3 linked regions of the Kluyveromyces lactis genome follow. The main gene of each other region encodes a partner of the protein of the gene in region 2 in a complex. Links are inferred from orthologs where the notes say so. Each region holds a gene or a part of one and is shown on either strand. Other genes may lie near its edges.

Region 1 (2,335 bases), on a different chromosome or scaffold from region 2:
GTCTTCGGATTCATTCAAAGTATATTCTGGGGGTGATGACAATGCTGTAGCCATCACTAAATTTACGAACAATGACAACTACACGATGAAAGCCGAAATACTAGATCACGATTCGTATGCTGCTTCATCAACAGTAACATCAGTGAATCTGTTAGATAATGACACAAAATTATTGGCTACATCAGTGGACCAGGTCATAAGAATTAGGGACATTACGAATGACAAACTGAAAATAACGGAGAGCAAATATACCACAGTAGCAGATACCGGTTCCAGTGATATAGTTACGTTACCAAACGTCCAGAAAACACTTATATTAATAGGAGGATTAGGACTTTCCTGTTGGCGAGATGAATAATATCTAACCATCTAAACTTCAGAATTTTATATATTTAAAACCAGTTTATTAGTATAGAATGGAAATTATTTATAGAAAGAAGGCTGCATTTTTCCACATTCAAGAAAAGAACACATCCTCCATTATGACTTATCTATATACATGAAAGATTGGGACGAATGGGAGGGCGATTGTAATTCAACCTTGACGTTGTTTATGCTTCTTATTGGACTTACAGTAAACGTACACTCTGCCCTTACGTCTAACCATGTAACAATCGTTACAGAACTTCTTGATGGAAGTTCTTACCTTAAAACCTCTGGTCAAAGGAGGGTTCATAAGACCCATCATTGGCATAGATAGCATATTGATACTTTTCACAGCTGGCCTTGTCAGTCTTGTCAACGAGTTCAACATCGTACTTCCGAAAAGTGTGCTCATTATGTATGTATTTCCCTCTCTTTATATTATATCGGGCTCCAGAGTTATACCTGTGAAGAGTTTTCAGTTTTTGATATCACCCACGGTCTTGAAACGTACTAATGGAGTCCACAATCGTCAATAAGGCATCACACCGACTGAACATGCCCTCTATAGCTGATGATCTACCATGAAAAGGCCTTCGATAATTTTTCAAAATAGTTTCAATGGAGATTAAGATATTTACCCGGACTATAGCACGTGATGGTTATGACCTGAGATCTTGAACATCCTCATCTAGTGAACATCTTTGGGCAAATCTGAAGACCGTTTCGAATCACTAACAAATAAATAATTGATGAAGTACACCCATCCTTTCTAAGAGACTCTTCAAGGCAGTTGTTTTATCCTTTTTCTCGGTTCTCACTGTATGTGCAGCAGCGCTCTGAATCGAAAACATTGAACTTCGAAAACGTAAACAATCGAATTTTAGATCAATATATTGACACACAAATACCGAATCATCATAAACTTAAGGACTAATATTTAGGTTAAGTTTCCATTTATTATCATATTTCACCCTGTGTTGATAGTCTCGCTTCATATGACAGATCCAAAACGATTGTCTTTGCTTCCGAGAAGTATCCTTAAGCAAAAATTTAAGGATGATGATACAACTAACACCAGTCATAATTTGACTATGTCCCAGATACAGTTTCCTACTGAGGGAATTACCAAAGAAGATATACTGGACGGAAACAATACGACATCCCGGATCAGTGCTGCGATTTCGAAGGGAAATCGCCGTGTGTCCTTTGCACCAGATGTGACTTTGCACAAGTTCGAATTCATACCACAATCGATTCAAAATGTAAGGGAACCTCGAAGGAAATCCGCTTTAAAATTGGAAGTGGCAGTAGCTGAAGCCTCTATGGCCGATACCAAAAATGATAACGACAATTCTGGAGAAACAATGGAATTTACTAGTCCGATAGGTTCAATATTCCAAAAATTGGAGTCTCCAAGCGAACCGAAAAATGATGGGTACCAACCTGTGTTCGACAAAGAGGTTTCAATGGATATAACACAGTTATTTGCAAAACATAGCGCTAAACCAGACGATAATGTGGTACCGCAAGAAACCTCTACTGCTGCGGAAGAAGAAGAAGAGAATGGTAACGAAGACCAAGTTTTGGAGGAAACAATGGACCTTACAGAACCGCAGAAACGCCGCTTTAACGAAGAAGAGTCTATGGAAATAACTGACCAAATACGGATGGATGCAGAAAAACCTACGCTAGATGCAGATTCAGAATCTGCTTTCAAATTACCTAAGATACCAGCAATTACAGAGGAAACAATGGAATTTACAAACGTGCAGGCTCCTCTGGAGATGCGAGAGTCACAGATAGTTTCTTCAACTCAACTAGAACCAACTCAACTCCCGCAGTCAAAAAGAAGGAAATTATCTAACGGTGGTTATCAGTCTCCGGTCAAATTGCAGGTACCAGTGCAAGTGCAAGAGACCCCTGAACAAAAAGAGAATATAGATGCGGAGCTCACAGAGATGGAACGATT
Region 2 (3,498 bases):
TTGGATGTCTTCACCAGGTATGCAGAGGAGAACAAAAAAGTCGTCGCAATGTTGCAACAAGATATGACCGGATATGTTGAAGATCCAGAAAATGAGCATGTTGGTGTCATTACTGATTATACCACGCCAGGTCTAACTGAATTTATTAAGTTGATTATAAGAAGATTCTTGGATATTCCTTACGTGGAAACGGAATGTGGATATGCATGTAGTGATCACGGAAGTGCAACGAAGAATGGATTCCCCGCTTCCTTTGTCATTGAAAGTGAGTTCAACAAATCTAACAAATACATTCACAGTACGATGGACACTTTAGACAGACTTTCATTTGATCACATGGCCCAGCATGTAAGGTTAGTCGTTGGTTCCTTATTCGAACTTGGGAACTGGGAATTTAAGCTGGAAGAAGAGACCAAATGATGCTCTGGATGTAGTAATCTAAACTTTGTTTAAAATAGAGTTGGTAACTGAACAGATGTTATGTTATTTCTTTAAATTAACTAGTTCTACGATATTTACAGGATGGAAGTCATTGAAATAAGTTTACAAAAACTGATGATATTTAAGATAGGATCAGTTGTGGGGAAGCTTATCATTGTCTAGCCTTTCTACCAGCCTTACCTCTTGGTCTATCTTTAACCTTCATTTTGTTTTGATGCTTACCCCTTCTTGTCTTGTAACCCTTGGCCAATTGACCCCATGGAGACATGGACAACTTTTTGGACTTAGATTTACCTCTACCACCACCGTGAGGATGGTCACATTTGTTCATTGCCACACCTCTGACAGTTGGTCTTATACCCAACCATCTAGATCTACCAGCTTTACCTAGAGAACGGTTTTGATGGTCAATATTTGAGACAACACCCATGGTAGCTGCAGCTTCCAATGATACGTAACGGTGCTCACCACTTTGTAGACGGACAACAGCTTTATTCTTTTCTGGGATCTTGGATAAGATACGTGCGTAAGAACCAGCAGCACGACAGAACTTACCTGGACCTGTAGGAGTGATACCAATATTATGAACGATGGATCCGATTGGGATCATAGAGATTGGTAGACAGTTACCTCTTTGAGCTGTTCTAACAGATAAGATGGCAGGATCGATCTTCCCACCCATTTCTTTCAAAAATGATGGTGGAATACCTTTTCTGTATGATTCGATGGTATCCCCAGCTCTTAGCCCATCACATGCTAAAATGTAGCTTAGGGCACCAGTATCGTTATGTTTTATCAATGCAATATGTGCACTTCTACCAGGATCGTATTCGATTCTTTCCACAGTTTGCATACCAGATTCGAAACGACTGAAATCGACTGTTCTCAATCTTCTTTTATGACCACCACCACGATGTCTCACCGTGATCTTACCACTATGGTTTCTACCACCATTTCCTCTCTTGGCAAGAGTCAAAGATTTAACAGGTCTTCCCTTATGCAAATATGGATAAATTGGCGCACGGTACCATCTCAAACCTGGAGAAACCGGTTTCAATTTCTTCATTTGTGTAACTTCCTTAGCCAACTTTCTTCTTCTTCTTAACAATTCGTCTTGCTTCTCTAGTGCTACCACATCTGTGTTATTAGGAACGATTTTCAACATATGGACATTGACATCGTCAACTGAAGATTGTTCTTCATTCCCGGTTGGAGTGATGCTGGCCATAGATCTGATTCCACCAAGTGAAGTATTGTTCAAAGACATTATCATCGAAACATTCCACGGAACTTGAACTCTTGAGGAGACGCCGCTGGCAAGCGGCGTCAGGCATCTCAAGTTGAATTGCTTGAACATGATATTATATCCAGAGCACCTAACGAGATTCTTAGGGTAAACCGTCTAATACCAATATCTCCGCTTTGCTACTGCCCTTCACAGAAATAATAAAATAACTCTGATCTTAATAAGATTTGTTATAGATATATCCACCCTTATATATATCAATATCCATAGTTTAAAATGTTTAAGTCATTGCAATTACATTGTTCATTTTTGTTAATATCAAAATCTTTCAAGCGATCTCTAATTTCAAACAGCTTCAATACCATCAGAGGAATATCGTCAAATGGAATTTTTTGCAAGAAGTATCACTATGAACGTATTCTGAATTTACCCGGATTATATAATATTTGGTCACGTGATTCAGGAAATCTTTGTGTACTTATTTTGTGCCCTAATGGCAGACCAGTCTCTCATGGTTAGATTGACTATTCTTTCTGTTTTATGGTTTTTAGTTTAAATAACTGGAAAAGTGAAAAATTTTGAGGTAAGTTTCTATCTCATCACGAATACTTTATTATCCGTTACAAAGCTTTTAATTAGAGTTAGAGACATAACCAACAAGGATTCGATTTGTAGTGTATCAGGAACAGGAGTTCCTGTTCGCAACGTATTCTGTCTTTTTTACTGAACTCAAACGGAAATCAAATTCCTCTTCATGTCGGGAAATGAACAAGTAAAAGGAACGACGAAGATAATGACTGTCTGTATGGAAATACCATCATTTGGATTGTTTTTTTTTTGAGTATATCGATTATGATGACCGCTGTCGCCCCAAACGGATTTCGAAAATATGAACGATTCGACTAGCATTAGCCAAACACTGAAAATTCTGATCAATCGATTACTTTATTAAAATAAACTGTCCAGGCAATACAGTACAAGTTATATCTTCTTGTTTGTTTGACTTTCTTCATTTCCGGATATATTCGGGTAGTCGAAGTGTACGTTAGATGTGTCAGTGGATTACTCGGCATTCTCTATCTTAAATATATAGACCTATTAATGATGAACTAAAAGTTTCCATGCTAATCATGAATAAAATTCAAAATTTTAAAGGATTAGAAACACGCTTTTTGTTATCTCTAACAGTCCTGAATACGTTTATATATAGCATTAGCTGTTCCATTCTTGTACTTGTAACTTGTGCTTTTCGGTAGTGTGTGTTTTTTTATTTTTGGTGCCGGTATCTGAATTGTAAACACGTCTTGAAAAGATGTCAATAGAAATAAAAGTGTTATCTTAGGACTAAAAACGTAGGATCCTAGATTATACAGAGCTCTGAGACAGTGAACCACAAATCTAAACCGTTAGCGATACACACAGGGCCTTTCTGAAAGGGATTTCTTCTGCTTCTATTCCTCCTTTTTTTGTTACATTTTTTTGATTCCTTATTTATACGTGCATTCATGGACGCCGAATCTGTTGAACCCTTTCTGGTTTACCTACCGATCCCACAGAGAGTTGTTGTCCTTGTGTTATTAGGGTTATGGCTATGGACATGGTTCCTGAAGGTATCAGTATCCTACTACGACGTGTCCAAAGTAATTGTATCCAATGAGTCCACGGGACTACCTTACTTTAACACATCCACGAAAATACACCAATCAAGCCTGAAACTGTTCAAGTCAATCTCTAGAGTCATTATACCGTGGCAATTGGTATGTATAATCTTATTCCAATACTCCTTCACTAATAACGTATCCAACAAATTG
Region 3 (2,682 bases), on a different chromosome or scaffold from region 2:
AGGAATCCTGTAATTTGGCACCTTTTTCACTTTCTTGAACTGTCGTGTCGTTGTCATACTGTATGGAAAATTGTCAGCCTTATTGTCAATTTAAAGTGAAACAAAACAAAACAACCAATATCAGACCAAACTGTTAAACTGATGCCAGTTTTCAGGTCCTGCTTAATCCTGTATCGTGTATTCGCACCTCATCTCATCTCATCGCTACTTCAAATCTTTTCACTCATGATTTTTTTCTTTTCAATCTGATCTTTTCTCGACTGATTTTCACGCCTTTAGGCCTGGCATCAAGCCTGCTCTAGGAAAATTTTTGTATGTGATTTGATTCTATGTAGAGTTGATTGTGATGAGATAATGAATCTAACTATTACTACAGGAGGTGAATGCTGACACTGAAATAACCTGCTAAAATCTGGGACGTGTATTCGACATATATATACAAGGTGATGGGGGGATTGAACTTGATAAAAGGTTGTTTTTTTTTAGTCATTTCCGCCGATGTGTTATTTTGTACTGGATTCAATGAGAAGAGGGTTTAATGTGATCCTTCTTTCTTCTCAGATCTCTCCACTGGCAGAGTTTTCATACGTCTCTCCAAATAAGCATCCTTGTCCTTCAGTTTCTTTGTGTATTCAGTTTCTTTTCTACCAGGATACAAGATACGCTTGTCCAATTCAGACAACTCTTGTTCTTGAATAGGCTCCACTTGTTCAACGTTAGTGTGAGCCTTCCAGATGTGACGGATTTCACCCACACAATGCATACATAGCGTATGTGCCTTCTTGTAATGCCCACATGAAGGGCATTTGTTCAAATGGTTGATCATTTTCAGCTGTTTGTCTCCAGGCGCATATAACTTTTGTCTCTTCTTCTGATGCGACACTTTCTTCTTGGGCACAGCTAGAAGGATCCCGTTATTCGTAAAGTAATCCGCTTGAGGTGAAGACTTTTCACGTTGGTTTCTTTCAAGCAATTCCAGCAGTTTCTGTGGCAATGCAGTACCAGCTGCTGGAGTGCTCCAACGAGGCAATATTGATGTCGCTGTTTCCAGCAACACTCTGCTAAAAGATTCCGTTACAGCTCCAAAAGACATCCTCTAATTATTTTCGCTGCTGGTATGATACTATGATGAAGAGGAGAAAGGATAAGTTCAATCGATAGGGACAGATACTAGTTTCTCTAGGTCGCTCGTCTAACTCTGTTTGAACTTCGTCAATTCAAATTGGTATTGACGAATTGGATTATAAGAAAGAATTTTCAACATTACCCTGATTTGGTGATGATCTGTGTCCCTTTTTCGATTTCGATGAAAAAGACGAAAAATCACAAAAACTAAAAATGGAACTCGAAACGAAATAAGTGTGTCAACAAAATATAAGTAAGGAATCAGATCTTGTATTCTTTAGAATAAGTAAGATTGTGATTACTTTTTTTTGACGTTTCTGTGGTTAATTGCTACTCATTGTTTGAATTTTTGTTATTGCGGTTAATTGTTTTTATAACTTAGAGGTTTTTCATTATTTTAACTTCCAAACACTAAAACACGTAAAGCTTTGATCATTTGGATTTGACTTATATACATCTCTACTACGCGAAAGGAATTATTAAAGGTAAAATACACGCATAAACAAAAACAATGGCATCTAGTACTGCTGCAGCTGGTATGACTTCTTCTTCTGATGGGTTGGCTTTGGTAAATCCATCTTCTTATGTTGGGTTTGATTCGATTACTTCACAGATTGAACATCGTTTGTTGAAGAGAGGATTTCAATTCAACGTTATGGTCGTTGGACATTCTGGTCTGGGTAAGAGTACTTTGATCAACACTTTGTTTGCATCTCACTTGGTTGATTCTTCTACTGGTAAGGACATCACTCAGGAACCAATTAGTAAGACCACCGAGATCAAGGTTTCAACACATTCTTTATTGGAAGACCGTGTACGTTTGAACGTGAACGTGATTGACACTCCAGGTTTTGGTGACCAGATAAATAACGACAAAGTTTGGGAACCTATTGTCAAGTACATCAAGGAGCAACACTCTCAATATTTACGTAAAGAGTTGACTGCTCAACGTGAAAGACACATTGTAGACACTCGAGTACATGCAGTGTTATATTTCATCCAACCTAACGGTAAGGGTCTAACAGAACTTGACGTTGCTGCTTTGAAGAGATTGACAGAAATCGCTAATGTTATCCCGGTGATCGCTAAAGCTGATACTTTGACGTTGAATGAGAGAGCTAACTTCAGAAACATCTTACAAGAAGAATTTAAAAAGTACAATTTCAGAATCTATCCATATGATTTAGACGATCTGACCGATGAAGAAGTGGAACTGAATAAAAGTATAAGATCTATTATTCCATTTGCCGTTGTAGGATCTGAAAAGGAGATTACAGTGAACGGTGAACTAGTAAGAGGAAGAAAAACTCGTTGGGGTGCCATCAATGTCGAAGACATCAACCAATGTGAGTTCGTATATTTAAGAGAATTTTTGATCAGGACACACTTGCAAGATTTGATTGAGACTACAGCTTTGATCCACTACGAAAGTTTCAGATCCAAGCAATTGATTGCTTTGAAGGAGAACGCCAACGCTAGAACTTCTGCACACATGTCTCAGACATCAACAACAATGCTGCGTTAATAGGTGGAAAAAAGAGCCGGGAAGACTTCTAG

The links. The genes of interacting proteins can lie anywhere in the genome.
Region 1: RML2 (region 2) and RTC6 share a complex: the UniProt entries of both Saccharomyces cerevisiae proteins name them as parts of the mitochondrial large ribosomal subunit. The link is inferred for Kluyveromyces lactis from reciprocal best matches to the Saccharomyces cerevisiae genes RML2 and RTC6.
Region 3: RML2 (region 2) and MRPL32 share a complex: the UniProt entries of both Saccharomyces cerevisiae proteins name them as parts of the mitochondrial large ribosomal subunit. The link is inferred for Kluyveromyces lactis from reciprocal best matches to the Saccharomyces cerevisiae genes RML2 and MRPL32.

Annotation. Positions count from the first base shown.
Region 1 is NC_006041.1:1,683,390-1,685,724, forward strand, and holds RTC6 (mitochondrial 54S ribosomal protein bL36m), read right to left. Parts: upstream 779-2,335; coding exon 536-778; downstream 1-535. Other genes in the region: tRNA (34-2'-O)-methyltransferase regulator RTT10, read left to right, coding at 1-358; kinetochore-microtubule binding complex subunit SPC105, read left to right, coding at 1,362-2,335. UniProt on the Saccharomyces cerevisiae protein: Component of the mitochondrial ribosome (mitoribosome), a dedicated translation machinery responsible for the synthesis of mitochondrial genome-encoded proteins, including at least some of the essential transmembrane subunits of the mitochondrial respiratory chain.
Region 2 is NC_006037.1:183,028-186,525, forward strand, and holds RML2 (mitochondrial 54S ribosomal protein uL2m), read right to left. Parts: upstream 1,799-3,498; coding exon 593-1,798; downstream 1-592. Other genes in the region: KLLA0_A02013g (putative aminopeptidase), read left to right, coding at 1-420; ERD1 (Erd1p), read left to right, coding at 3,193-3,498. UniProt on the Saccharomyces cerevisiae protein: Component of the mitochondrial ribosome (mitoribosome), a dedicated translation machinery responsible for the synthesis of mitochondrial genome-encoded proteins, including at least some of the essential transmembrane subunits of the mitochondrial respiratory chain.
Region 3 is NC_006042.1:1,182,595-1,185,276, forward strand, and holds MRPL32 (mitochondrial 54S ribosomal protein bL32m), read right to left. Parts: upstream 1,094-2,682; coding exon 536-1,093; downstream 1-535. Other genes in the region: KLLA0_F12804g (uncharacterized protein), read right to left, coding at 1-57; septin CDC10, read left to right, coding at 1,637-2,650. UniProt on the Saccharomyces cerevisiae protein: Component of the mitochondrial ribosome (mitoribosome), a dedicated translation machinery responsible for the synthesis of mitochondrial genome-encoded proteins, including at least some of the essential transmembrane subunits of the mitochondrial respiratory chain.